4 linked regions of the Schizosaccharomyces pombe genome follow. The protein of the gene in region 3 interacts with the protein of the main gene of each other region in a pairwise test. Each region holds a gene or a part of one and is shown on either strand. Other genes may lie near its edges. The genes, in order: cdc23, bis1, nup211 and isu1.

Region 1 (7,414 bases), on a different chromosome or scaffold from region 3:
TGATTCTATTTCTGATCTAAAGTCAGATGCTACGTAGCAACATTTTTCTTTAATTTCCCGGACAATTTCTTTCTCCGCCGAGCTGACGAGTTCGTGGCCAGATTTTCGAAGTTGCAATTGCAAATAATCTGTAACGTCACGACCTCCAATTTCCTCTTGTTGTATAGCTGATGGAATGGAAAACCCATCATAAATAGGAACACTATGAGTCAAGCCATCTCCACATTCAAGAACAATGCCAGTTGTACGTGCGGAGGCATACAGTGCCAATACAGGCTGCAAGGAAAAGCTCAATGCTGGAACGTTTAACGTTTCATAAAAATACTCTGCAATTTTTTCTTTGTTTCGGATGTTAGCCAAAGGAGGTTCGGTTAAAAGCAAGGGATGTTCTTCCGGTAAAGTATTGAGCTGTTGATCTGAATAAATATAGCTCCAAATCTCTTCCATATCGGACCAATTTTGGATGATTCCCCGTTCAATTGGACGTTGAATTTTAAGCAACCCGCGAAGATTTTGAGCCTCAGAACCAACAAACATATCTTTTTGGATACTACTTGGCATGACACGCTCATGCTTAATTCTTCCAACACTGTATATTAGTATCTAGTATGAGAAATAAACTTCATACCAAGTCGGAAAAAGGCATTTGGGAATATCATCGCCAGCGAATCCAGCTTTAATAAATCCAGAGCCCTAGATAGTTTTGTCAATATAACTAGACAGTTTAACAGGAAATAGCCGGCTAAAAAGAGTCTGGCATACATTGTCGATACATATCGGCTGATTATCAAAGCTAAAACGCGTCAATAAATAGAATTCTTTCAAAAGACACGCACATTTCAGTAACAGTCATCCAAAAAGCTGAAATATCAAAGTTGAGACTCGGAGGTTTTAAAAGAAAGTTTTATTAAGGGTTTAAATTATTCTTTAAGCGGCTTGAAATTTGAGAGCACTAGCAATAATGAAGGAAATGGCGGGTAAACAGTAATAGAAGACGCAACTTTGAAGGTTTTGGGCTTTGCCAAGAAATTTTATACTAACAGGAGGAACAACAATCGTACCAATTTTTTAAAAAAATACCTTAAACCAATGGAAATTGGTCACTAACAGCTATTAGTTAAAGCAATTGGGAATTGTCTAAAGAAAGTAGCATGCTTGACAAGAAACTTAGCAGTATTAAGCTTCGTTATGTATCACTATACCCTGCAATTATCATACATAAGTTGTTTCATTCAATAGGCTTTTTGAATGAAAACCATATAAAGAAATTACGACAACCCTTTCGATTGAATTTGTTTCTTCAGTTGAATTGTAGTATATGCTTAATAATGGTTATGTTTACATCTTGGTTAGACCCATCATAAAGCCGCTCGTACTCGTAATTGTTGTTGAATGGATTGTAAAGAAGACTGTACAAAATTCACTGCATTTTTAACGTGTTTTCGAAATAACTAATCAAACTATCAAAAAGATAACGTATCAACACTAAACCGCACTACTTTATAAATTGCACATCGGGTTGCTTCTTAGCTAGACGGAAAGACAATGCTGACCTTGTCTTCATAATTGTTTACAATCTTCCACCATTCATCTACTCATTAATCAGTAGTAATGTATTAAAATAAACAATTTCTATTTTTTAATTATACAAACAATTTCCTATTCTGAATCTAAATGTAACAGTTGTATCGCATTTGGCATTTCTTTTTTGTAATCCAGCAACCGAAAATTCAATCAAATCAATGTGACCATGGCGAATTGGATATAAAATAACAAAGATTAAGGTGGAAACTTCAACTTTATCAGCGACTATCATTATAGTCAACAAGTAGACAAACTAATAATATAAAGACTAACAAGTCTTGGGGGTATAAACTAATAATACATATGTCTTGCCTCATTTAAAAATGGTAAAAGCAAGGAACCGTTCACGGCTTATATCGATAAACATTCTAAAGCAGGGGAACCAATGTGTTGAAACTGGTAATAAAAAGAGGGATGGGGGTGGTAAAAGAATTCCAATAATCGAAATTCCTTAGAAAAATAAAAATAAAATCCATGTCTTAACAATTACATCAAGAAGAGTAAAAAAAAAAGAAAAGCGAAAATAACGAATTAAAAAAGATTGCATTGTTAGATTGTTTAATGCTTTTATCGAATAAGATAAAACATTCAATTTTCCAATTTTTTGTTTTCCCTTTTTATTATTTTCTTCTGATCATAACGGAAATCGGGTTTTCTTCTTGTATACAATATTCGGGTTTAAGCGCTTACTTCCCAATCAAATGCACCCTTTCTTTGCTCAGCTCCCCAATTAGGAGAGTTCAAGTCATCTCTGACAGTTTGAACGTAAAAGGAAAGAGGTTGCTCTTGGTCGTTACAGCTCATAGCCGACTCAGAGTTAATGCCGATATCGGTGGTTTGATCAGCAACATTGGATGCGGTAAAAGACCAACCATTCTTAGTACCGTCAACACGGGAAGCAACACTAGTAGAGAAGGAAAATCTTGAAGCCGTTGCCTTTAAAGAGGTAGCGGCTAAAAGAGACTTGGAGATGACACCTTGTTTAAGAATAGAAAACATAGCGATGAATCAAAAATGTTTATTGATGAAATTAAAAAGAAAAGAAAATAACAGTGATTAAATAGAAATGTGTAGAATAGAAGTATCACCGTTCGCAGATTTAATTATCGAGACGTCAGCGAAGAAAGAAAAAAAAAATTTTCTTAACTAATTAAACCAACGAATAAAAAATTTTTTTTCTGAAGATGACCGTGTTGATCAAACCAATATTCTTTATTGTTCACTAAAAAGAATATCAAAAGAAGTATTTAGTAGTAGCTAAAATGTATTAACTTTTTACTTTAGAATGTCTCGCAATTGACTTTGATTAGACACTGTTTAGGTGGGACGCAACAATTGTTGGATGGCGAGGTCTCTTAGATGGAAGCCCGCATTTATATAGTTTTAGACTATTTATTTGCCTTTTCCTTTGTGACGAATTCAGATAGCTTTCCTTACTGATAAGAATGCGATACCCGTTCCATACGGCGCAACGTTAAAATAGGCGACTAGCAGTGTAAAGTCCGATACCTAGACGAAAGCAATCGTAAGCTAAAGGTGTCGACAGTACCTCAGTTTGGCTGGCTATCTTAGTATTGCTTACAAGCCCATCATACCATATGAAAGTAAGCTTACGTTCGTTTGATTAATAAACAATGTGATGTCAAAAGCTGTAACGGCCGTTCTTGTATGAGAGAGAAGCTAGCAGAACAAAAAAGGGAGACTTCGCACATTGAATTCAAACAGTTGACATCACAAATGAAAAGAGCGACTGTGTTTAATAAGCGTTTCAAATATTCCATTGGGATTTACTAAGGATTAGGATTTAGAAGAAAGGTTTAACAAAGGGTTGAAAGTTTCATGATAGCAAAGTGTGTCGCATGTAAACAAAAGAACATTCATTTGAAATCATAGCTATATCCATTAGCTAGCTAATTAATTAGTAAGTTGGTTAGTAATTTAAATAATTAATTTTCATCATAATGTATAGAAAAACAACGTAAAATTCAGGGAACTATTTCTAAGTCATCCTCATCATCACTCTCAGTAAATTCATATCGGAATTTGATATTTTTTAGGGAGCCGGATCGTGAAAGTCCAGTCGCTGTGGAGTGCGTTGTAGATGCATCTGCGGAATGCGTTGGATCGAAACCTATTTTTCGTAGACTTTGGGGGGAAAAAATCCTCGGCGAAGAGGTAAACACTACCGCTGGGGAAACTTTGGTGGATGTAGTATCTTGTGGAACGGGTGTCCCTGATGCCGCATCGTTAGTGCCGAGAATAGCAGAGTTAGAAAAAGATGGTAGAGAGGATTTAGGGTTCATTATAGATGCATTAAAAGAGGCCAGAACGGATGGTTTTTTCGTCGATGAATCAATTTCGCTATCTTTAGAAAGAGCAGTGGGATTACCCTTGTCATGTAAATTTTTAACGCCGGAACCTTGTAAATTTAGATACTGATGGCCGAGTGTTCGCATCGACATTCCCGTAGAGAGGTTATTCGAGTTAGAGCTAGACGAAGAGGAAGCGCAACATCGCTTCGATAATCGCACCAAAATTTCACGCTCGCGTTCAGCCTGCGCTCGTTGTTTTTTGTATCGTTCCTTGCGCTCCCTCTCGGTCTGAACGGCGTCTTCTGCATCATACAAACCAGCTACTGCGTTAGGAATTGCGGAATACTTTTCCCCAGCAAAGTATCCTTGGAACCCTTGTCCACGAAATCGCTTTTCACGTCGTGCGCGAGGCTCGTGCATAGTCGCCATACTTGAAGCAAACTCCGTTCGCGTAGACATGGACCGCTGGACAGCGAGGTCAACGTGATATTCACATACATCTCCGGCACGCTTGTCGAGCCAATGTTTACATAGTTCACCGCTTTTTCTTCGGCTGGAACAATAGCCAAGGTGTTTGGAGCGACCAATCTCTAAAAGTACATCGTACTCAGAATCCAGCTTCAGAGAAAAGCGTCCAATGTCTGGGTTCTTTGGCTTTAGTACTTCAGGATTGAGAAGCGCAATGACAGTACCACTCTGGATCTTCCAGTATCGTTCAAACGCCTTTCCAAACAGGAAGCACTCCAGTTGCCATTTCAAGTCAGTCAGTGTTAGCATACAATATTTATTCCCATTCACAGTTTCTCTGGTTCCACTATTACTGGCAACAATGCCCATAACTACATAGTTGTCAACTTCTGGCGCTTCAAATTTAGGAGCTCTTACTAGTTTGAGTAGTTGGTGAATGAGATAAACTTGATTTCCCCCTATATTTTCCTTAGCAACCTCATCACTTATGTATCGAATAACAATGGCTTGTCTTGAATAAGGATCGATTTCATCACATTTCATAGGAAATTTCTCCTCTTCACTTTTTCCATCTTCAAGTATGTTTCGCTTCCTCTGGAACGATTGCTTTCTATTTTTTTTCATCGTTTTCAATTTATCGCTCCTCTTCCTTTCTTGGTTCCTTGCCTCTGCAAGTCGTTCGTGAAATGGTTTTGGTAGAGGCCCTCGAGGCCCTTTTCCTAATGAAACATCTTTCCCCGTCTTTCCTTTATCGATTCCTAATATCAATCGCTTGGGACTTTTTAGTTTACTAGGCGAGCTGACTGTAAGGACACGAACTTGCTGAGGAGGAGATCTTGGAACCTGAATAACTTCAGCGTTCTCCGAAGAAGCCTCCTTTTGAGCACTTCGTAGACGCTTCTTTTCTTGAATTTCATTTAGCTGCCTCTGTAACCTCTTTTCTTCCAGGTCCAAGTCATTTTCTTCTGCAATGAAGGGATCATGCATACTTGCATTAATTAAACTTGGTTTCCTCTTAATCTTAAACCTCCAAAGTCAATGATAAAAAAAACCCCCCGCCTGTTAGATATAGTCAATTTCTCACGAATACTGAAACTTTTCAACCCAACCCTAGAAAACTAGCTTTTCAGGAAATTAAAAAAACTCTGATCAATAAAATTTTCTTCTCTATTGTATGAGTAGCCAAAACAAATAACAGGATAAATTTAATACTGCCACATTTGTATTTTGAAATGCGAAGATATTGTTGAAAAGTTTAGTGCCAAAAACAGGAAATTCTTTAGTCCTGGAAAAGGAAGCAAGTAATAATTATAAATCTTTTTAACAAGATATTCTTATTTTCCAATACTTAAAAATCGCGGTTAAACATATAGGAATGTAAACAGTTAGCGGACATCTAAAGGACATGTGTTTAAGGATGCAAAATGTAGTGCATAAACAAGCATAATGTGCAAAATTAAATCCTCTCTATACTACACATGCTATAGGTAAACAACATAACTGCAGTTTGAATAATAAAAGGTTAAAATAGATGCGCTAATTTAATGAGTATACACGTTCGATATCACGAATTCATTTACATAATATAAACTTACGATATTTGTCTATATAGAATCATAAAAGATGTGTCTACAGTATTCAAATGCATATAGTAACTTATTTAAAAGGGGTATTTTGAACAGTTAAATTTTAAACGTCGAACTTTTTTTTACATTTGGTGGAAGAGATTGCCTAGTTTCCGTTGTCTATTCAAATTTGCGCTTAATATTAAAATCTTTGTGACAACAGTTGGCCAGTTCTTTTGAAACCAACTTATGAAGAAAAATCATATAACGAAATTTCCAGTATTGTATAAAAAAAGCCTGTAATCCCACATAATATTTGGTTGATCATATTCGAAATTGTCGTTTCAATGAAGTTTAGTCCTTTCTGAATGCTCAGTATGTAGTTTCGTTTAAATGAATCACCGGGACTCACAGTGTTATAAGTTATCATAAGCTATCAATTTAATGGACATCAATACTTGTTTAAATGAAGCAATTCCTGGTCTGATTGCTTCACCTTCTAAAATCGGGTACCCAGACCATTCATTTGTTTATCCCTAATTAAAAATTAAGGGGATCATGTTTTGATACCACTAATAACCATCAGCTGTAATTTTACCTCATACAGCTTCTCTCCGTTAGCTAAATCTAAGGTTTTAGCGTCTTTTGACTGGGTTGACCGTTGATACTTAGCTTCATCGACCCACACATTTGCCTGAGCTTTACCAATGACTTCAGCGTTTGACAAAGATGCATTTTTGAATAAATTCAAAATTGATTGCGGAGTAAATCCACCATGATGAGCTACGCCAAGCTTAGCTATTTCATCAGGATGCAAATTACCATGAAAAGTATCACCCCCCTTTATTAAATCTGCGACAAATAATCGACCATTAGGTTTTAAAAGTTTAGAAAGCTTATTAGTCACTTCCTGTAGGTCCTTGATATGATGATATGCCATGGAGCATACAACAGCATCAAATTCAGTAGAAAATGGTTCATCGCCGTTGCCATCCAAATCATCCAAACTTAAAACATATGCACAGGCTCTTTCTTTGGGAATGTTCATCTTTCTAAATTTTTCATTATAAACGTCCACCATGTCTTGGGAAACGTCTATGCCAACAATTTGTTTACAGTAAGGGAACAGGTGTTGGCTAATTAAACCAGTTCCACAAGCAAAATCCAATATACTCATACCACTTTTCTTCCAAAAATTATTTACATTTGTCAAATCATCATCCGAAGTTAAAAGCAGCCTATCTTGATCATATTTTGGGAGATCATGTCTTAGGCTGGTTTCGGAATTGTCTTCAAACTGTAAAATTTTTGAAGAAATCACTTTGGAAATCGCCAAGGTACTTGGATTGTCATATTTCGATGCTTCTATTTTGTTGTAATGAGACACGTTGGCATAAACTATATCCGACATGATATTTTAGTTCCTTTTATATTGTTAATGAACGGTGAAGTCTTGCTAATAGGAATATTAAAAAAAAAGATAAT
Region 2 (6,147 bases), 1.1 Mb from region 3:
ATATGCTTGAGTGTCCAAAATGGAAGACGAACTGCGTGTTAGCGGTCAGTAATGGTAACTCCATAACTTCACATACCATATAGTAAAAATAAAAGTAAAGCAGCTGAAATACTGCATGTAGAACAGATGAGAGCCTTGTCTAAGTTCAAATTACCGAATTTGGCGCGAAGAAAAAGTGTATAGCAAATGACTACCCATAATAGCCAAATTATTACTACCCATTTTTCCCTTGAGTTGTACAAGCCGACCGCAGTTACCTTTACACATTTTGCCAAGAAAACTGCAGTCACTTTTACACATTGTGCCAAGGAAATTACAGTTACTTTAACTGCCTTGGTCCAAGTTTCATAGAAGTCTGATGAGTTAGTGACTGAAGGTAAGAATAACCCCATTGTCTCACTTACAAGTCAAGAATATTAAAGCCAAAGTGCAAACAAAACACCAAAATCCAAATAATGTCCATTCCACTGCACCATAATTTTTAAAAAAAGCGTCCTTATACTTTAGATAACAAACTGCTGGAGCATTGAATAGAATGATTGAAGTGAATGATATTAGCAGTTTTATCAACAAAGGGGAAGAATTATCTGTCGTCCCAGAAGAATGGTTTTCTCTATGTGTGTTAGGAGGATTATTTACAAGTGCGTGATCTGTTTAAATTAATATGATTGAAATACTTTAGTAAAGAAAGAGCATGTATCAAATTGTGTGCATTGCATGGCCGACTGTAAACAATGACCAAAGCATGCAATTTGACAAGATGGCAAGTTTCAACTTTCCATTGAGTAATTCCTTTCTTATTATTTACAATTCTTACCTGAATATGGAGGTAATGCGCCCTCTTCCTCCGAATCATATTCTGGGAGTGGTCCTTTTTCCAAATCGATTTCATGATCTGTCTTCAATTCATCTTCTTCATCTAGAGGACTTTTCAAAGAAGTGTAATTATTCTTCATTTCATCAAGATCATTCTTTATTTAATAAAACACATGCGCGAATTAATTGCTATGATTGCGACAAACGAAACAGCAAAATCAAGAATATTCGCTCTGTAGTCCAATTCCAACCACTTCAAAGACTTTTTAACAAAATAATAAAATCGTTCAAACAAATTTCCAACTAATTCCTTCAAACAATGGCATAAAAAAAGAAGAACGAAAAAACTGAACGAGGCAGTGGATTGCTTCTGACACATTTATTCTGTCACTGCCTTTTTATTCACCCCAACTTAGCTTTCCTTATGTTTCATACTGTAATAATTGTTACAGTACGTTGCGGGTCACTAGTTTCGTATTTGTAAGATCATCTTTTTTAATATAGACATCAGTTAAGAACAAAGATTGGGAAGATTATAAATGGAATTACAGCTGCGTCTCATTCCTCAGTTCAGTTATTAGCTAAATCGGTAACTGATACTATTAGACATCCCTATAACAATAAATATAATATTCTTAGTTAACAAAATGCATACCGCTATGCTGTAGTTTCACAAGAGAGTCATTGCAGTTCAATGTATCGTTAAACAGATATCAAACTGCGTAGCTGACAATTTCATTAAAATGCCGCCCTTAAATGGAGAATTGAGTAGTTCAGTATCGATCATAATAAAGTGGCTTTTGTATATGAGGCTTTACTTAAATATGTAAATTTCCAAGCCTTCAATAACATTTCAAGTAGTATAGATTATTATTATTATTATTATTTTTTTTTTATATTTAATTTTCCTTAGGAACCTAAGTGGTTTGGTATCATCTACGATGTTAAAGTTGGCGGCAGTCATAGCTTGATGTAGTAACGAGAGATTCTCTTAAATTTACATTTAATTAAGCATTCATTTATTGGTACAAAGCATAAAATTTTACTGAATTGTGCACTAGTAAGCTCAATTACTGCTTCTGCCTGAGTATCCTAAGTAGCTATAAGTTTGGCAGAAAGAAATTGTTATTGCATTTCCAAGTTCGTGAATTTCGAGATTTGATTATTTTAGTATTTTCAAATTCCATTTTTACAATCATCTGTAAAAGCAGGCGTAAAACACTCCTTCCTTTATTAGTTCCATTATTGCTGTTAAGTACATATTAACTACTAGGAGGAATTCGTGAACCCTTCTAAAACGTGCTTCTGTGGAGAAGAATAAGTGAAAATGGTAAGAAAATATTATTATTGTTATAACTTATAGAAGGCTTATACTTTAATAGAGTGAAGAAATTATAACAGAAAGCATTGTAAAGAATTTTGGTTCTGCTGAAACATCAGTGGGAGAAAAGCAGCCGAAACGAAAACGTTCAGAGGTGCGAGCTGAAAAGTTAAAAGCACGAAAGCTCCAAAAGGCAGCAGAGATTGTTCAAAAACAAAAAGAGAATAGAAAAATTTTAAAAGACGTTTCTTTGAAACGTTTGTCAAAATCTCTCGATCGAAGTCTTCCATCAGAAAATACAATAGATCAGATTTCTTTTAATCATGCTATGTCGGAAGAGGATGCTTCTGGTTATCAAATTGGTGATAAGCATAAAAATTTGCTTTTATATAAGCTTTCTTCCTCTTCAGGATCTGTTTTTACGGAGAACCTATACTCAACTATTCAAGAGTTTTTATCTGCTCAAAAGGTTGATATTGCAGACTCTAAAAATACCTATGTTTTTGGCTCTACGTTTGACAAAAAGTCACATGCATTAGTGAAAACCTCTGATAGTGTGAGGTCCCTAAAATATGGAAGCTTTGTAAAAGCATGCGCACCTCTGTTTCGCTTCGCAAGTGGAATAATCAAAGCGCATGCACCACATTTCCACCAGGCTTTATTAAAACTTGAATTGGCTCCTTCAGCTTTAAGATTTGGCGTCTTTCCTAACTTCTCTCTTCAAAGCGTTTCTAACGGCTACATGTCTATGGAATCTAATTTCTCCTCTATTAAATATGGTTTTGTTGTGATTATCATCGTAGGGGAACTAAATGATGTTGAGTTAAAAATCCCTGCAATTTCTCATTCTTTAAAATTAAAGGATGGTAGCATTCTTGTTCTCCGCTCCTCTCTTTTACACCAGTGGTATTCATTACCAAAGCAAAGCATTTTATATGAAATTCGTCTATTCGCAATGTCTTCCCTTTGGCATTACGAGAAAAATAAATCCATAAAAATTGCCAAAAAAGATGATATTTGAACTATTCATCAGTCGAAATGAAGTTTTATTTTTCACTAAAGTGTCGAATGTTGACATTACGAGCAAGGTTGGTAACACGGTCGGTTAATTAATAAATTCATATATTTCATACCATTTAAAAGCTACTATAATTTCTAGAAATCATCAATAAATTAAAGAATGTACAATGCACTTATCATTATGCTTGCTCTAGTTAATTACTACATAAACTAGACAAGTCCTTCATTAAACCCTTTTAGGTGTAGGGGCAGTCGATTTTACCCGCGGGGTAGGAGTCCATGAGAATTTGGGAATGGAAGTCCTTAGGGCGGTGTGACGAGAAGCAGACGGAGAAGAACCATGTAAAGGTGATCTGAGATACGAACGTGCGACAAGACGTCGGGCGGCAGGAGTTAAATTGGTCAGTTTTCTGGATACAGAGTTAGGAGTAGAATAAGAATTTAAAGCAGTTGATGCAGAATCCACTGATGTAATGGTGGTATTCGTGGAGTGGGAACGAATATCGCGCACTCTCATAGCATGTAGTCTCTCTCGTCGAGGCCGTTCTGGGATGTTGAAGTATGATTTCGAAGAGGATCCCACTGCTTGTCCAAAATTAACATCAACTAAAGGATATCCATTGACAGAAGCATCAGTCTCATTGACAGACGGGGGGACTATTGGGTCCGTACTAGGTTGATTGGCTGCTTCTAAAAAAGACTGCGATAAGCCAGTTGCATCCGCTTGAATTTCAGTGCTTTGCTTTTTTATCTGAGACAGGGATGAAGAATGGTTAGTTTCTGGAGTATACATTAAGGCATTCTTTGGCTGGTAGTTCCAAGTTTTAATACTCTTGTCTTTCTCTTTCCATGCAATTGACTTGATTGCATCAGAATTTGAGTAACCAATAGTTTGAATGGAGTTAGATGGCTGTTGTGAATGGACCCCAAATCGTCGTTTATGCTGTTCAGCTCTCAATCGACTCTCATCTTCCATTAGCTCTCCAAAAGAGGCATTGTCTTCTGATGTGAACTTATTTTGATAGGAAGCAACGCTAATCGGTTTATTTTCTCCATCCAGCTGTGCTTTGGTAATCTCATGAATAGCTAACGATGGAAGCCTCTTTCTCAATGGATCTTCTGAGTTTTTAGCAATGAGGTATTTCAATTTTTCATCCCTTGACTCATTTTGTGCATCAAAACTTCCTACTTCTTCACTTTCGAGCACGACTTCAGCCTTCAGCTTAGGAAGGTCAGGAAAATATTGTTGTTGAATTATGTAGCTTAAACCCTCGATGTAGTCATCTTCTTCAAGTGGAATTGGTTTCTTGTACGTTTGTTCTTTATTCACAGGTTTTACTAACTGTTTTTCATCATCATCGATCTTTTTTGCCAAGGACATGTATGCAAGATGTTGGCAATTGGTAATTTCCAGAAGTGTGGTAGGGATGCCTAGGACACCGACATGAAAAGCAACTAAACAAGGTTGTGAGGTTTTAGATGGTTAGCAAAACAAATTATTGAATTATTTTTCTTTCTCATTAAGAAGATAACGATTGCTCAATTGCTCAAATTTGGCTATTTACCTATTTACTGTTCTACAGTTAAGGCGTACTTACAATTACAAGTAAGTTATGGGGATTAAACAGCGTCGACCCACTAACTTTCAAATTGATTATTTTAATTACTCTGTTTTAGTAGAACATCAGATAAAATTATTTTATTGATTTAAAAAAAAATACTCTGTCATTGAAAACATACATTTCTTTCATCACAATCACAACTAGCGGCCTAAGAAACTGTTTTTGTTGATTATCTATTTCACCTACCAAATGTACTTGCATCAACATTTTAAACATGGTATCTATTTTTCCTTGTATATCATAAAGTAGACTTCCAAGGAAAATAAAACTCTGCTATTTTTCATTGAGATCGTAGTTTGATAGACACAATTTGAGTATTCATAGACCTAATTCATGTACAATATTTATTTACTCAGAAAATAGTGCTATACTAAGGTGCACGGTCTAGCTCGCAGTATACAAATAGCAGAATACGTTGCAGCACTAGTTTTACCAATGCACCACCAAACAGTACTACCCTAAAAAACAGTCACAGAGAATCCTAGACAAACGCTGCCATACAAATTTTGTACTGCGCAAACGCCTTGACAAATTGTAAATTAAAGATGGTCCGTTATTCTGCAGCTCCTGCTCTTGAGACCAAATGCGCCAAGGCTCGTGGTGCCTATTTGAGAACTCATTTCAAGAACTCTCGTGAAGTTGCCTTTACCATTAATGGTATGAACTTGAAGAAGGCCTTCATCTTTCTTGACAACGTCAAGGAGCACAAGCAAGCCGTTCCTTTCCGTCGTTTCAATGGTGGTGTTGGTCGTACTGCCCAAGGCAAGGAATTTGGCGTTACCCAGGCTCGCTGGCCCGTTAAATCCGTCAACTTCTTCTACGACCTTTTGAAGAATGCCGAGGCTAATGCTGAAGCTAAGGGTTTGGACATGGATAAACTCATCATCAAGCATGTTCAAGTCAATGCTGCTCCCAAGCAACGCAGACGTACTTATCGTGCACACGGTCGTGTCACTGCTTACCTTTCCAGCCCTTCCCACATTGAAATCATTGTTGCCGAAGAGGAGGAAGCAGTTCCCAAGGCTAATGACACCGTTTCCCGTGTTTCTTTGAAACAAGGTGCCAAGGCTAGAAATTTGGCTGCTCGTAAGGCCATTACTTCTGCTTAAAATAGATTTTGAAAAAGGTCGTCCCTATTTGATTTTACGAATGGATTCGGTTGTAATATGAGTTTCTTTTTCATTTCCTATTTATGTTGTGGGTAGTCCTTAGAAATTGACTGTAATTTTATAAAAGTGTCTTCTCAATAATAACAGAAAAAAAAATCTATACGAAAGCAAACAAGTAGCTGGAATGTTACCAAAAGAATAAATTAATTAGATTAAAATTAAAAAAAAAATAACAAAACAAAACAAATGAGTTCCATGG
Region 3 (10,359 bases):
GCTGCTGTACGATCAGTGTAAGTAAAGAGGGAATTCCCAAGAATGGTAGAAGAGAAAGAGGTCGCAGAATTGAGGCGTTTGGATGATTTTTTTACGCGGAAAACCCATCAAGCGGGGATGAAGGAGCGTAAAGTTTGTTCAATTGACCAAAAAGCTGATGAAATGCATGCTTTGGGTGATTTTAGAATTGGATTTTATTCAATCTATCATTTCTTTCCATAGCCATGGCATTTTCAGCGTTAGCTTATAATTTGTTGGCGTAATTTTGTACTTTCTAGTCTAGTATTTTTTATCATATCATTAGAATAGTGAAAAGAAGTTGGAATAACTTGGAAAGTCGTTCAATCCTTCTTTTCTATCTTCCCCATCATCTCATCTGAAATTTGCTTCTTCTTCTTCATTGATTTCTAGTTTTTCTTGATTTGCCTCCCTGCTGCGTACGTGCCCGATTGACACACCTCATCTCTCATGTGGTGCTGAGCATACACGTACTTGGATGCACTCCATTCAATATTCTATGAATTGTTACTAACATTCGCAGAAAAAACTTTTCCAAGGGATACACAGATACGCAAATTAAGGTTAGAAATGCTACTACAAATGATTCATGGGGTCCCAGTGGCACTGCCATGGCGGAGATAGCAGAGCTAACCTATGACCAAAATGAAATGCTAGAAGTTATGGACATTATAGATCGTCGTCTGAATGACAAAGGAAAGAACTGGCGACATGTTTTCAAATCGTTATCCTTGCTCGAGTATTGTCTCCACAATGGATCGGAAAACGTTGTTCGGTGGGCCAAAGACAATATATATATTATCACAACGTTGCGTGAGTTTGTCTACGTTGACGACAATGGTCATGATCAAGGCCAAAACGTTCGTACCAAGGCTAAAGAAATAACTTCTTTGTTGGAGGACGAGCACGCTTTGAAGGAGGCAAGAGGTGATAGTAGAGAGAGAGACAGAGATAGAGACAGAACGCGTTCCTCTCGCTTTGACGATGATGATGATGATCGCGCTCCCTACGAGGAATCACGACTTTCTCGCGCTCCCAGTCGGGCCAGTCGTTACGATGACGATGATCGTGACCATCGCTCAAGGAGACGTAGTCGTTCTCGCCGTCCTGGTCGCTCACGCTCAAGACGAAGAAGTAGAAGGCCTTCCCCGAGCGCTGAACACAACTCCGCCGAGGAAAATGATCCAGAATTACAACGTGTTATTGAGGAGTCTAAACGTCAGGCCGAAGAAGATGCCAAGCGTCGTAACATGGCTAACGATTCGGAAGCTGAGCTTCAAAAGGCCATCCAACTTTCCAAAGAAGAAGACGAAGCCCGTCAAAGACATCAACGTGAACGTGAACAACAAGAACAGGCATTTATGGGCAATCAGCAAAATGCTTATCAACCTGTCGATTTCTTTGGAAATCCTGTTCAGCCACAGCCAACCGGTTTCCTCCAACAACAACCCACCGGTTTCATCCGTCCTCAAAATACCGGGTTCGTACAGCCTCAATACACTGGGTTCGTTCAACCTCAACATACCGGGTTTGTCCAACCTCAGGCCACTGGATTTATGCAGCCTCAACGTACTGGTTTTGTTCAACCTCAGGCTACCGGATTTGTCCAACCTCAAGCGACGGGATTTGTTCAGCCTCAAGCTACAGGATTTATGCAACCTCAGCGTACAGGATTTGTTCAACCTCAGGCAACAGGATTTATGCAACCTCAGCGTACAGGGTTTGTTCAGCCTCAAGCAACAGGTTTCATGCAACCTCAGCGTACAGGATTTGTTCAACCTCAGGCAACAGGTTTTATACAGCCTCAACGTACTGGTTTTGTTCAACCTCAGCAAAATGGTTTCTTCAATCCCCAACCTACTGGGTATATGCAACCCCAGCGTACTGGTATGATGCAACCCCAACGTACAGGCTTTTCTCAGCCATTTGAGTCCAACAACCCTTTCCCTGTCATGCAACCTCAGCGTACAGGCTTTGGTCAAACCCCTAATGCTCCAATGATGGCTCCCAACCACACTGGTTATGTTCATCCCCAGCCCACTGGATTACAACGGCAAACTACCGGCTATACAGGAAACAATAATCCTTACAGTCGTCCTTTACAGTCACAATCGACTGGAATACTTCAGCAACAACAACAACAATCTGCTCCTCGTTTGGAGCCTACGAAGACTGGCTCAAATAATCCTTTTGCTCAATTTTCAAACTTGCCATCTCAATCTACTGCTCCTGCTACTAAACCCATGAAACCCGTTCGGACTGGTGACGATCGATTTTCTAACATTGCTCAAGCAATCTCCACTGGTAATCCTATGGGAACTGATAGTTTCGGTAATATTGGTCTTACCAGAGTTCCGACTCAACACACAGGATCCAAATTTACAAATAGTGCTGGTCAGACTATTCAAGCTCAGGCAACCGGTAACACGCATAATCCTTTCCAATCGCAACAAGCTACCGGATATTATAAACAACCGATGCAGCAACAACAAAACATGCAACAACCCTATTATAATCAACAGAATTACAATTACCAAAATCAACAACCGATGCAGGGCATGCAACAGCAATCTATGCAGCCCCAAGTTGGCTCTCTAATTGATTTATAATCCATTCACTCACTTCCGACCTTATTTGTTCCTAATGAACGTCCTAATGATGGTCCTTCTCTTTTTTGTTGTATAAAGTTATCGCAATTTGTTTAAGACCGAGTTTTTTAGTTCACTTTATTCTCTGTAATTATCATGGACTAACAATCCATTTAAATTTAACTATTCTAGTTTTGACATTTGTTCTCTTACTCATATGTAGATTTTGACTGAATTTGTACTTCTGCAAATAGTCGTGGTAACATTTTTAAGTAGTGAATTTACTTTTTAGCGTGCATTTCTTATCTTATCTCTAATAATAATGGAATAAGTAAGTCGAAAAAGTACTTACTTTGCAAAATCAAGAAATAGCAAAAACCAGTCTGTGTAAGAATCAGAAATACAAATAAGACAAAAATTTTATAATACAAAATTTACTCATGTCATTATTATAAATCATGTTAACTAAATATGAATAGTCCTAAGAGTGATTTATGAACCATATGAAAACATCTATTTTGCTTTCTTTTGGTTCGAACTGGATCCTCCTTTGTTCGCATCGTCACGTTGTCTTTTAAGGGAGCCGGATTTAGCAGTGCTTGACAGTTCTTTAGCGTTTTGGGCAGCATTCTTTGAAGTAGCAATTCGTTTGGAAGCTCCAGTTATTGAGAGTTTTCCACTGTCTGGTTTCATAGGAACAGGACGCGAAACAGCGGGTCGTTGAACACCTTTTTGTTTGCCTGTTCCTTGAAGTCTTGCACTCAGAGATTTACCGGAAGGTTCTCTCTTGGCTGACGAAGCTTCTGTAGCATTCTGACCAACATCAGCTTTGCTAGCTGTTGGTTTGGAAGTAACAGGCTTTGTTTCTGTTACAGAAGACGTAGATTCATCAGTCTTTTCAGGATTGGATAGCTGTTTATTCAAATTCTCAATAGTTTCTTCAAGTTGTGTAATTTTGTTCTGAAGATCCCTAGTTTTCTTCTCATACACAGATATTTTAGCTTTGCTCCGAAATTCTGTCTCAGCTACCACCTTCTTCAACTTAACATCAAAGTTGGCAGAATTTTCTTTAAGCTTTTCTTCAACCTGCTGCTTAATCATGTCATCAATATTGTCATGAGTATTTTCCGAAGAATTTTTTTGAGCTTGTTCCTCAAGTTCCTTTATTCTCTGTGACTTTTCGTTGAGTTGATTTTCTAACTCTTCCTTTGTCTTTTCTTTCTCTGCGACGAGTTCAGAGCGAGCAGCCAAAATTTCGGTTTCCTTTTCTTTTTCATAATATTGTTTCGTAGATTCAAGTTGTGAACGTAGCCTTGCAATCTCATCAGCATTCTCTAAACTTCCTTGGGTCGGTGAATGCTCTCGTAAAGCTGCCAATTCCGCACTCAAGTTTTGTACTTGTTGCACAAGTCCTTCTTTGTCAGACCGTAATTCATGAATTTCTTTTTCAAGATTTGAAATTTCAGTTTTACCGTCAGCATCGACAGCCTCAGATTGCAAGTGTTCTAGCTCGTTCTTAGAATCTGCTAGCTCTTTTTCAGTTCTTTCCTTCTCCGACTTGAGTTGTTCAAATTGTTCCTTCGTGATCTGTTCAGCATCACTGGAAGCCGATTCTTGTAATTGATGATTGGAATCCTTTAGAGACTCTATTTCTTTTTGCATTGCTTCATTTTCAGCATTCTTAGAGGTTAACTCCTTGTTTTTGTTGGTCAATTCCTGCTTTAGATGGGCAAATCTTGTTAAGCTGGATTTTTTCAAATTTTCACATTTTTCATTCCAAGCAGCTGCCAATCTAGTATTTTTGGTGTTTGCCTGCTCAACTTCCTTCTTCAAATTTTCCACCTCTTCGTTTAGAGAATTAACCTGTTGCTTAAATGTATCGGTTTCTTTTGCTGTCTCCTGAAGTTTCGTTTCCAACTCTTGTTTTTCTTTTTCTAATGCTTCACAATTTTTCTTTAACTCCTCTAACTGTGTGGGATCAACACGCTCATACTTGTTCAAAACGGACTGAAATCTTAATTTCCATCGAGAATTGTATTCCTTCATTAAGTTCAGACTTGCTGTCTTTGCGCCTATTTCTGCCTTAAGTTCATTTATTTCAGTTTGTAAGGGATTCAATGAAGCATTCAGTTTTTCAACCTCTTTCTCCAGCTCTTGTATTTTTCCAAGTTTAGCATCATTGTCCTTTCTAAGGACACTATTACTTTCATAAAGTAACTGAACTTCTTGACTTCCGCTGATAATGGGGGTATCTGTTTGGTCATTTGACACAGGCAGAGACTGCAGACGGTTGAGCTCGAGTTGCAATGAATCAACGGTGGATTGCAAAGACTTGACTTGTTGATTCAAACCTCTATTATCCAGAATTGTTAACTCATATTTATTATCCATTATTTCCTTTTCGTGCCTCAAGTAGCTAACAAGTTCACGTAAATCGTTATCTTGAACGGCTTCTAAATTGGCAGATATATTTAAATTTTCAGAAGAATTCTGTTGAAGAACAGTTATTTGTTGACTAAGAGAATCAAATTGCGAATGTAGTAGTTTATTTTGATTTTCAAGTCCCAAAATGTAATCTTTCAAGGAGCTAATTTCATCTTCCATGGCTTTCCGCTGAATATTCCAATCCTTTTCAGCACCTGAAAGTCCTGAGTGCTGCTGTTCAAAATTTGCTTTGAGCTTTAAATATTTCGTATTCACCTCGTCAAATTCAGTACGTAAATCCCGCAATTTTTGAGTGGTACGCCCATGACTAACGATCTCTGATTCGTAATTAGAATGACACTCCTTCATTAGAGATCTTTCTTTTTCAATATCTTCTTTCAAAGAGGTAATAACACGATCCGCATCTGAACGAATTTTTTCATAATCTTTTTTGAAAGAAAGTGCACTATCCTTTTCACGAACAGCATCCTCAAGTTGTTTGGCAAGTTCCTTGGACGAAGACTCTTTCTCTTCTTTTAGTACTTCAACTCTCTTATTAAGATCCAACAACTCAGAGCGAAGGGACGTAATTTTCTCTTCCCTTGTGCTAATTTCAGATTCTACTAGATGCTTAAACTGCTCATGGGTTTCATTCATCATTTCCAAGGTTTTTTCTGAAGCGAGGTATTTTTGTTGAATATTACTCTTTTCAAGCTCGGCCATGCGAAGTTTTTCCTTCGTCCTTTCCAGTTCAATAGATATAGCCTCGACTTCAACATTATCAGGATTTTGTGTCGTGTCTTTATTAGCCGCGATTAATTTAGATTGCAAGTTCTCCTGCCGTTCTTCCATAAACTTTAAGCGCTCTTTCAACTCAGTGGTTTGTATTTCTAACTGATTTCGCACGGTGCGTTGCAATGTTATGTCTTGTTTTAACTCAGTGATGTTAGACTGAAGTTGAAGCACCAATGTTTGATGCTCCCTCAAATCAAATGAATTTTGTAGAGTAAGTCTACGAACATCATCGGAACACTCAGATAGCTTTGAATTAGCAACTCGAAGATCATTAGAAAGTTCAAGTATTCGACTATTCATTGAGTCCACTGTTGCCGTATACTCTTGATTTGAAGATTCAATTTGAGCTTTCATATGGAAATTATCCTGCTGCAGGGACGAAAGTTTCGACTCCAAATTAGATAAATCGGCTTTCAACTTATCCTTGACGGAAGTTAAAAGCAGGTTTTCGCTTTTTAAATTATCAACAATATGATTGGATTGTTCAAGCTGGCTATTACAGATTGATAATTGAGAAGAAACATTTTGAACTTCAATTTTCTTAGAAGCAAGTTGCTCTTGTAAAGACTTATAGCTTTCATCAAGTTCATCTTTACTTCTTTCAGATAAAACAAGTGATTTTTCCAGATCATTTAGCTTTTCAAGGGCTAAGCTTCGTTCAGATGTTAAAGAGGTAAGTTGCAATTGAATATTAGATTTTTCGAGCTGGAGAGATGAGATAGCTTCCTCAAACTTTTTTTCTTTGTTACGAGAAATTGACTTAAGGGACTCCAGTTCATTAGTTAGCTGTTCAAGTCGAATAAGCGAACGCTGGTAAGAAGTCTGCTCAATTAAATTAGTATTCAATTTGGAATTAGGAGTTGCAGGCGCCATATCTAAAAGTTTTTCATTCTCTTGAACTAGTGATCTAAAAAAGTCTCGTTCCTTTAAAGAGTAGCGTAACTGATCGCTCACCTCCTCCAACATTTTAGTAAGTTGATCAATAGTTTCGTTAGCTTTTATCAGTGTTTCTTCTTGAATCTCGGCTCCATCAAGATCAGGTTTTTCGTCTTTCTCCATACGATCAGCTAATTCATGAACTGCAGACAGTAGATTTTGATTTTGTTGTTGCAATTCTCTAATATTACGAAATACAACTAGCCTGCTTGAAATTATTTGATCCGTATCAGTTTCATCTTCAGTGAGCGATTTTTCAACATAGGAGTTAATCTTCTTTCTACTATCCACGCCTAGCACTATGCCGTTCTCACACAAATCGAGTTCATGAAGTAAAACTTGCACCTGTCGCGCTAAATCTTTGGTCTCTTGCTCATAATGCTTATTCTCTGTGCATTTATCTTTAAATAGTGTCTCTAATTGCTCGTAACGGGACTTGGCTTTCTGACAGTCTTCCAATGACTTCTGATATTGCTCACTCATTGCAACAATTTCCCGTTGCATATGAGCAAATCGCTTAAACTGTTCTTTAACCAAAGGATGCTGAAGATTCGCTTCTTCCATAACATGGTTATAGCTACGTTGTAACCTTTCAACCTCTTGACATGTTTGCTCATACTTCTGTTTATAGTATAAACGCTCGGAATACAAGTCAGAGACGGAGGACTGACCTTTAAAGCCTTTCATACTATTATTTAGTAAATTTGAGTATTTCAATTCACTCATATCTGAGATTTCTATTTCATCATAATGCCGAAGACGCTCATTAGCCAACTTTAGCTGAGACTCTAAACTTGATACCTCTTTCTCTAGAAAATTGATTTGAGATTTCAAGGAAGCTTCTGCTTCCTTATGAGATTCAAGCTGTTCTTCAAAAGATGATTGTGCAGCTTCCAATAGCTTTTCCAACTCGCCGTTTGAGTTCTGCAACTCTTTGAGCCGTAAAGAGCAATCCTCACATTTCTCCATCCACAACTCACTAATTTGCTTTTGTGAAGAAATCTCTTTTTCAAAAGAAACTTGCGAAAACTCATATTGCTTTCGCATTTCGGAGAGTTCAGCTACAATATTCTGATATCGTAAATTACTTTCTGTAAACTGTTGAGACAAAGAACTCACTTTCCGTTGTAGCGCATCTTTTTCCAAAACAGCGTCAGATAATTGAGAACTTAGTTGAGACTTTTCCAAAGAGGCCTCCTGATGAAGAGATAACAATTTGTCGTTCACACCCTGAAGCTCTCGGCTTAACCAGGTGTTATTATTTTCCAAAATCGAATTTTTCTGCGTTAATTTTTGCAACTCAAACTCATAGTTAGTCTGCAAAGATGCTTTTTCTTGTTGTGTATGTTGAAGCTCCAAAACTTGATGGGTAGAACTGGCAAGGGCATCCTTTAGATCTTTAATGATAGTGATTTTCTTTTCAACTTCCTTTTCTTTATCTGATAAAAGATTTTGAAGTTGAGCAGTTTGCTTCAAATTTTGATCCTGAGCTTGTTTTAATGCCTCATTTACACTTTTGAGAGAACTGCAATCGTGCAAAACAGTGTCATATGAAGAGGATTTCTCCCTAAGATATTCTTTGATTTGAGAGAGTTCATTCTCTAAAAGCTTGCGCTCATCCTCTAATAAATCGTAACGTTCGTTTGATTGAAGTAGTTTCTTCTCCGAATTTCGCAATTGTTGCTCGTAATTGACTTCTGTAACTATACGATCATTTTTTATACTTTCATAATCTTTGCTTTTACTAATTAAAGGTATTAATATGGATGTAAACGCGTCCACCTGAAGTAAAGGATCAATTTTTGTCTTTGGTATGTCTAGAAAACTGCATACCCCGAGTATATCAGCTTCTGTCCAGGAAGAATCGTGCATTGCCTCAAACAAATAGCTTCTAACTATTTTTTCAGTTTAGAGACGCTACCTTTGTTTGAAACACGTTCTTACCTATTATGGTGGTGCAATGTAAGTCGATGGGTGTGTAGCGACGAGGTAGTTGATACCCTAATAAATTCAATTTCAAGTCATAAAACCATTACAATTAAAAATCTATTTAAATTCTTTATTGAGATAACTAATATAAGTCCGTATAATATAATCCATTTGTTTGTGTCACTAGACATAAGCAATATACATTGCCTTACGTCTTCTTACCTAAGCTATAAATCAGCGTTCACTAGGTAAACTACATACTTGTATGGATATACCATATTCTTTTAAAAGATGAATATATAAAAAATGGAAAAGAATTTAAAGCTAATTTTCCTGAGGCATAACAGTTCAAAGATGTAACTTTTTAGGGGAGATCAAAATTAAAAAAATTTGTCATCATCGTGTATGTGACAATATTATAAAACAAGCTTGCTCCCTCAACGTCCCGGTACTCGAGAGTTAACGGATTTTAGAGCATCAGTCGCTGGTTTCTTGGCAGAAGAGTCCATAGCAGGAGTATTCAGCGCACTTCGATTGAGTCCGATATGGGATTTAACTAAATGGCCACTAGCAAGTGCGGAACACAAAGACAGTTCACCAGCCATTACGGCGGCTGCAACGACACGTGCTAGTTGACGAGAATTATCACCGGGAGAGGTCATATGGGCACCTCGCACACCGAGCAAGTCAAGCATAGCACCTTGCGGTTCCAAAACCGTTCCACCACCAATTGTTCCAACTTCAATGGATGGCATTGACACGCTAAGCTGAAGGTTACCATCAACATTATCCATCAAAGTTATACAATTACTGCTTTCAACATTTTGGGCAGGGTCTTGACCAGTTGCTAAATATACTGCCGTGACAATGTTAGCAGCATGAGCATTAAATCCTCCAACGCTGCCAGCCATAGCACTACCAATGAGGTTTTTGTCAACATTTAATTTAACCAAATCTTCAACAGTAGTTTTCAATACCGATTTGACAGCATCACCAGGAATAATAGCTTCAGCAATAACACTTTTACCACGACCATCAATCCAATTAATAGCAGCAGGCTTCTTATCTGTACAATAATTCCCTGATACACTGATCACTTGCATGTCATCAAAACCAGCGTCATTGCTCATTACTACAAGTGCATGCTCAACACCTTTGGAAATCATATTCATACCCATAGCATCACCGGTAGACGTACAGAAACGGATGAAAAGACGAGTACCAGCTAGAGCAGTCTTAATATGTTGAAGTCTAGCAAAACGGCTAGTAGAGTTAAAAGCCTTCTTCATAACCTCTTGGCCTTCAGGGCTATCCAACCAAATTTTAGCACGACCAGCGCGCGTCAAATTCGGGAAAGCCACACATGGTCCACGGGACATTTGATCACGAGTCAATACAGTAACAGCACCACCACCAGCGTTAATAGCTTTGCATCCACGCATAGTAGAAGCAACCAATGCACCCTCAGTAGTAGCCATAGGGATATAAAAAGGCTTACCGTCAATAATGAGAGGACCAGCTACACCAAGGGGCAAGGGCATGTAACCTATAACGTTTTCACAACATGCATTCAAAACCCTAGAGTAATCGTAATGATAGACGGGGCAATTAGAGCTTTCAAGTGTCTTCGTCCTAGATGAACGGGAGACGACCGTTCGGCGAATTACAA
Region 4 (6,422 bases), on a different chromosome or scaffold from region 3:
TTTAGAAACAAGACCGTTTTCAGAAGGGATAACGCGGTTTACAAAAGAACAAGCAGCTTATTACGCGGAGCAAAAGGAAAAGGATCGCATTAAGGCTCTTAAAATTCCTTATGAAGATTCCAAAGTTCGTGAATATCTGCGTCGTTATGGTGAACCCATAACTTATTTTGGTGAAGATGCCTTAGCCCGACGCCAAAGGCTTCAGCAATTAATGATCGAAAAGTCCCTAGAAGGAGACAATCCATTAGATGTAGACCAAGGGGCTTCTGAAAATATTGAGAAGGAGACGTATGTTCAAGGAAGTCACGAACTATTAGTTGCTCGTAAAAAAATAGCTCTTTACTCCTTGGAAAAGGCAAAGCTCAGATTAAAAAAAGAACGGGAAATTTCCGAGATTCCAGTACCTGAAATTGTACTTTCCGGAAAGTCTTCAATCGAACATTTACAAAAGGCTGAATTGATGGGCTCTCAGATAGGTGGTGAGCGACCAATAGCCATTGTTAGATTCAGTAATAATGGAAATCATTTTGCTAGCGGAAGCTGGGGTGGCCAGGTCAAGGTGTGGAATTCTGATAACCTCTCAGAGGTTCAATTGTTTCGCGGCCATACCGACCGAGTTTCTGGTTTGGATTGGTATCCTCTATGTCAGGCATGGGATGCAGATTCTGAGCAGCTGACTTTAGCGACTGGAGCCGCAGACAATACTGTTTGTTTGTGGAAAGCAAGTCAATCTACTCCACTGTTACGTTTGGAAGGACATTTGGCTCGTGTTGGTCGAGTTGCTTTTCATCCAAGTGGTGATTACTTAGTTTCTGCCTCATTCGACACTACATGGCGGTTATGGGATGTACATACAGGCGTTGAGTTGCTTATGCAAGAAGGTCATTCGGAAGGGATTTTTTCAATCGCCTGTCAGCCAGATGGGTCGTTAGTTAGCTCAGGTGGTAATGATGCTATCGGTCGGATTTGGGATCTTCGATCAGGCAAATCAATAATGGTATTAGATGAACATATTCGTCAAATTGTCGCGATGGCTTGGAGTCCAAACGGCTACCAACTTGCAACTTCTTCAGCCGATGATACTGTGAAAATATGGGACTTGCGGAAAGTGTCATTGGCACATACTATTCCCGCACATTCTTCTCTTGTTTCAGACGTTCGTTATATTGAATCAGGTGTTAACAGATTCATCGCTACGAGTGGTTATGATGGCTGCGTAAAGCTTTGGAACCCGTTGAACTGCTCATTGATTAAAAGTATGGTGGGACACGAAGAAAAGGTTATGAGTGTTGACGGTTACGGAGACAGATTTATCTCATCAGGATACGATCGTACAATCAAGTTATGGTACCCTTAAATTTGGGTGTGGCAAACGGTTTTGGTAATGAGTTTAATATAGGCAAGACAGTCCTTTCTGACTATTTGCGTGATGGGCAACGAAACAATGAATATATATGAACATTTATATTACATGGTTTAATAGCTAGAAGATGATATTCATGTATACTACTAAAGTTTAAGCAAACACAGAAACAGCTTATAGTTTAGAAATAAAAGACTCTAAATTATTTTTCATTAGACGTATAAAGATTCGAATAAAATGCTATAGCAGGAACTAAAAAAAAAGGAAGGGGAAAATGTACAGAGTAATGATTTTTATAACCACAATAACAAGCAAATAAGCATCAGCAGCATTTTGAAAGAAAGCACTTGCATCAATTTAGTCCAGATACATATAGTGCAGAAACATTAATCAATATATATTGCTAAATGGGAGGAAGAATGCAAGCAAACACATAGACCATATGTTTACGCCAAAGTCGACAAGCAATCTTATGTGGAAAACACTGTTTACATGTACGCAGTTTAGGAATTAAAAGGACCGGGTAGAAAATTAGGAGGCGGGGTCAAAAAGCGGAGCGGAAATTAGCAGATTTTTAAACAGATGAAAGCTATGACTTTACAATCAAGTTTCTAAGCGGTAGCAGACTCAATAGCGCCAGCAGTTGTACCAACAGGCGTTAATTGTTTAGAGCGATAATGCTTTACAGCGCTTTTAATGGCATCCTCGGCAAGCATGGAGCAATGAAGTTTTACAGGAGGCAAGCAAAGCTCTTTGGCAATTTGGGTGTTTTTAATTTTAGAAGCCTCCTCAAGGGTCATGCCCTTGACCATAGTGGTAACGTAGGATGACGAGGCAATTGCACTACCACAACCAAAGGTCTTGAACTTTACGTCCTCAATAACACCATCCTTATTGACACGAATAGCAAGGCGCATAACATCGCCACAGGCGGGAGCACCTACCAAGCCGATACCCACATCGGGATCACCTTTGGGCAAAGTACCCACATTCCGAGGATTGTTGTAATGGTCTAAAACATTCTTATGGTACATACGACGAGAGACGTTTGCGGTGACTTGAGGGACGAATTTTGACGAGTTCGTTTTGAGAAACTGTAAATTCGCTGGACGGGCAAGAAGAGAAGAGCGTTGAGCCAAAATTGAAGGCAAAACGCCAACGCATTGAACGGAGCGACGGAAGACACTCATTTTAGGGAAAACAAAAGAAAAAAGAAAAAAATCAGATGACAAATCACGTCAAGATCTAACAAAATATCTGTATCACAAATCCAACTAGATTTGTTTTCAAAACGTATCAAGTAAAAGGCTTGAGTACGTTTTCAGTGTTTTTGGGGGATGGCAGGGAGTTTTCAAAGTTTCAGATTTTATCTGATCTATATAAAAAAAAATAACAGCTTTGCCTTTAAATCTCCTTATACGTAAATGACGTTAAAAAGTGTGTAAGGGTAACGCAAGGAAATTTGTAAACCGGGTTAATAAGATGACAATAACTATGTACACTCGATGAAAGGAAAAATCGATTCAACTATGTATCGACAATAAACAATCAAGACGTGGTTGAAAAAAATCGTGTCAGAGTTATGTAGTCTTATAGCACACAAAACGAATTGCTTTATTCAATGAAATTATTTTTCAAAACAACTTTAAATTTATGTTCAAAACGTCCAATATTAAATGTTGGTGAGTTGTATGAGTCAGTAGTGTTTGAGAGCAGTGCCTGCTATATATAGTGCAAGTCAGTCTTGAGTGTTTTCGGCCATCTTTATCTCATCTGATATGAGAAGAAATTCTGTTTGTCGAAAATGTGACTGTTTTTCCCTAACAAATCACAAAGCTAGCTTAAGGTGGATGGTAGCGAATAAAATAGGGAAGGCAATAGTGGCAAGCGAATCGGAAATGCGGTTTCAGCAGTAAACGCCAATTAAGGGACTAAAACGTAATCCGGTATTACTAGATTTACGAAGAAAAAGTTTTGGGGAGGCCACAACAAAGCAGTCTGAAGCTTATGCAAGTATGATGTACAGCTAGACAAATAAAGTTGTTTTCCATACACAATATGGAAATTCCAGTGTTCGATGGTGAAGGATATGTGTTCACAGTATATTCGAAACAAGGTTGTGGGATGTGGGATATGGAAATTGGAAAGAAGATGCCGTCCCCCTTTAACTGAGGAAGGAATATCAGATAGCAGGCAAGAAGTAGTTAGCGAGAAAGAAAGTAGTCAGTTAGGGAGTACAGGTGGAAGGGACGGCATGAGACAGACGGCAGAGAACGGGTAGGGTGCTTGTATGTTTAACAAAAATGATGATGAAAAGTTGGTGGATGCACGACTAGAAGCTGGGATACATGCTTGAACGGTTTTTTGGTTTCCATTTGTTTATCTGTTTTGCATTTATTTCGATATGTAATTAGTTGCTGGTTTGGATTATACATGTAAATAAAAAAGGTGTAAGGATAATCTTTCAAAAAGAGAAGTTTGTATAAGAAATGGTTAAGCCGTTTTTATTTTTTTTATTTTTTTTAATGCACCTCTTGCACTGCGTATGTTTTTTTGCAACAATCGATCCCGATAACATTGCCAAGGCCGCTAACCTACGATCATACTTTCCAATAGGCAAGAGCGAGTCCATAGTTGCTGGAACTAGGGTTCCGCATCACGGAATAACGGAGCTGGGCGAAAAAAAAAGGAACAGGTTGCAAAAAGGCACTATACATTTGATGTGTAACAAAGTAATATTCGAAACAGTCTATTTCACCAATAACAGTTTAGCGGTCTAACGGTTTTTTTAAAGGATGACTAGTTTTTTACAGCATTCAGTAAATTAGCGATATAACATTACTGCGCCCGTCATCCTTAATTAAGATAGGAAGGCCGTTGGAGATTGCAATAAAGTAATGGGCCTCCAAGCAATTGAGGAGTGTGATAAATATGAGAAATTATAACTATTTTTTAAATTTTGTTTTTATTATTTAATGTAAATATCGGTATTTCGAAATTGAATCAGTGGTATCTGAGACTTCTCTTAATTTTATATCTCACATGCTCCACAAGTGTCTTGGAGTGTATAGCAACAGAACTCAAGAACGTTGAATGTAACGTAGTGCAATGCTATTCATTCAAATTGGTAAATTTTTGATTGTGCATATTAACGTTACATTGCAATATATGTTGAGGATGCTGAAGTTGTATTGCATTTTTTAAAAATAACAGACTCCTACGGATTTATCCTTTGCTGCGCTATAATTTAGTAGCTTAGAAATCGTTCTATCCAGCTTGTAAAGCGAAGCAAACGCAACTTTGCGTATTGTGCGAATTGGACTCATGCTTGGAATTTCGAAACTTAAAAGGGATTCGGCTTTGAGCATGAGATCCCCACACTTGTCTTCTCTCCATCAAAAGTTATTGTGAATTTATCTTCAAATCGGGAATTAATCATTTGTAAGTGAGTGTTTACCTTTACAACGTACTGGTAAACAGAAGATCAATTATAATAAACATCTAGTTTGGTATGAGAGATATTTGATGCTAATCGTGTTATCATAGATTAGCTGTATAATTGAAATTTATTGTTTTTTTTTTCTTTTAATTCCCTCTCTTTTATTGCAAAACTCATATTTAACTTTATTGTTTGATTATTTCATCCCTTACGCTACTCATTCATCTGCTGTATGATAAAATGGCTTTACAAGTAGATGCCCCAGATGTATCGTCTTATGACGAACTTTACAACCGTGCAGTTGAATTGTTGAAGCACCAGCAACGAGTTCTAATCGGTTTGGCTGGAGGTCCTGGTTCAGGCAAGTCAACATTATGTGCTATTCTCGCAAAGGCATGGAATGAAAGATTTGGATCGGAGATCGTAAAAATAATTCCAATGGTAAGTTTTTCTGTTACTATGCGAAATGGAAATGAAATGATAATACGATTTTTTTGTGATTCTGGCTAACATTTTTTAAAGGATGGCTTTCATTATTCGTTGGAAGAGCTTGATCGATTCGACAACCCAGAAAAGGCCCGGGCTCTTCGTGGAGCAGAATGGACGTTTGATGCAGACTTATTCTACTCCTTAGTTCGGCTTATGAAAAAGATCACTGACAGAGAGCTCTATGCCCCTTCATTTGATCATGCAATTGGTGACCCTGTAGTCGACGATATTTGCGTTGAGCCCAAAAATCGAATTTTAATTTTTGAAGGTAATTACCTTTTGCTCAACAAACCTCCATGGTCAGACGCATGCAAATTATATGACATTAAGGCATACCTCCCTGTAGAGCACTCAGTGGCCCGTGCTCGTGTTGCGCATCGTCACTTGGTTTCAGGATTATGCGCAACAGAAGAAGAGGCAATTGAGAGGACCGACAGAAATGATATGATTAATCTCACTTTTGTCGAGAAGAACATGGTTACCCCAGATATTGTATTACAGCAGCTACGTTTGAAAACCGTTAAAACATCTAGTTTGTAATGTGTTTTCATGAGTGATAAATAAATGAGAATGTAATCATTCGTGAAATTTATCAAGAATAATAAGAAAAAATTTGATTACGCTGAGTCGGTGCTATTATGACTACGGTGGTGTTCAAAAATTTAAAAAAAAAAAAAAAAAGGTTGGAAAACTAAGAAATCAAAATAACCACATTGTCCCATACCACAATTCAATAAAGGCGAACAGGAAGCACACATATATGCCACTAAATTTGAGAGTACTTTATCGAAGTTACTTTGCTATTGTTTCTGATGCATCAAATCCTTCGGTTTGGATAACTTCAAAAGTATATTCAATACTAATCAAGTAAATTTCTACTCTGTGGTACTCCATCAATGCACAAACCATCATTCACATGTACCCCTCATCTAACTGCAAGATGGCTTAAATCAAAAAAGCATTGTCAATTATTTCTTGTTCTTTTGTTGATATAGTATCTAAATCCGTCAAAAGTTTATGTTCAAAAATGGTTATCTAAGTGGTTCAATGAAGCTTTATGTGCTTTATCTTTGCTAAAGCAATAAAGGACCTCCAGAATTTTTTTTTCAGAAGAAACTATTAATCTATTTT

What was found.
Region 1: the proteins of nup211 (region 3) and cdc23 interact in a two-hybrid assay, tested with the Schizosaccharomyces pombe proteins (2 studies listed by BioGRID).
Region 2: the proteins of nup211 (region 3) and bis1 interact in a two-hybrid assay, tested with the Schizosaccharomyces pombe proteins (3 studies listed by BioGRID).
Region 4: the proteins of nup211 (region 3) and isu1 interact in a two-hybrid assay, tested with the Schizosaccharomyces pombe proteins (2 studies listed by BioGRID).

The regions. Positions count from the first base shown.
Region 1 is NC_003423.3:4,077,376-4,084,789, reverse strand, and holds cdc23 (MCM-associated protein Mcm10), read right to left. Parts: upstream 5,734-7,414; 5' UTR 5,352-5,733; coding exon 3,570-5,351; 3' UTR 3,226-3,569; downstream 1-3,225. Other genes in the region: centractin family actin-like protein Arp1, read right to left, coding at 1-589, 629-693, 763-793, 837-853; SPOM_SPBC1347.14C (uncharacterized protein), read left to right, coding at 2,146-2,511; protein sro1, read right to left, coding at 2,263-2,583; SPOM_SPBC1347.09 (hexaprenyldihydroxybenzoate methyltransferase), read right to left, coding at 6,486-7,340. UniProt on the Schizosaccharomyces pombe protein: Required for DNA synthesis. Required for entry into or completion of S phase. Involved in DNA replication and seems to participate in the activation of the pre-replication complex (pre-RC) and in transcription elongation.
Region 2 is NC_003421.2:481,976-488,122, reverse strand, and holds bis1 (splicing factor Bis1), read right to left. Parts: upstream 4,553-6,147; 5' UTR 4,539-4,552; coding exon 3,384-4,538; 3' UTR 3,226-3,383; downstream 1-3,225. Other genes in the region: wtf antidote-like meiotic drive suppressor Wtf9, read right to left, coding at 1-31, 77-355, 405-650, 818-956; calnexin independence factor Cif1, read left to right, coding at 2,144-2,146, 2,199-3,158; rpl1702 (60S ribosomal protein uL22), read left to right, coding at 5,325-5,888. UniProt on the Schizosaccharomyces pombe protein: Has a role in maintaining cell viability during stationary phase induced by stress response. May be involved in pre-mRNA splicing.
Region 3 is NC_003421.2:1,563,916-1,574,274, reverse strand, and holds nup211 (nucleoporin nup211), read right to left. Parts: upstream 8,726-10,359; 5' UTR 8,634-8,725; coding exon 3,120-8,633; 3' UTR 3,025-3,119; downstream 1-3,024. Other genes in the region: ent1 (epsin), read left to right, coding at 1-17, 542-2,627; 3-hydroxy-3-methylglutaryl-CoA reductase Hmg1, read right to left, coding at 9,128-10,359. UniProt on the Schizosaccharomyces pombe protein: Functions as a component of the nuclear pore complex (NPC).
Region 4 is NC_003424.3:515,891-522,312, forward strand, and holds isu1 (Fe-sulfur cluster assembly protein Isu1), read right to left. Parts: upstream 3,062-6,422; 5' UTR 2,554-3,061; coding exon 1,975-2,553; 3' UTR 1,526-1,974; downstream 1-1,525. Other genes in the region: rna4 (Prp4 family U4/U5/U6 small nuclear ribonucleoprotein complex subunit), read left to right, coding at 6-1,357; yfh7 (uridine kinase), read left to right, coding at 5,043-5,243, 5,325-5,831. UniProt on the Schizosaccharomyces pombe protein: Scaffold protein for the de novo synthesis of iron-sulfur (Fe-S) clusters within mitochondria, which is required for maturation of both mitochondrial and cytoplasmic [2Fe-2S] and [4Fe-4S] proteins.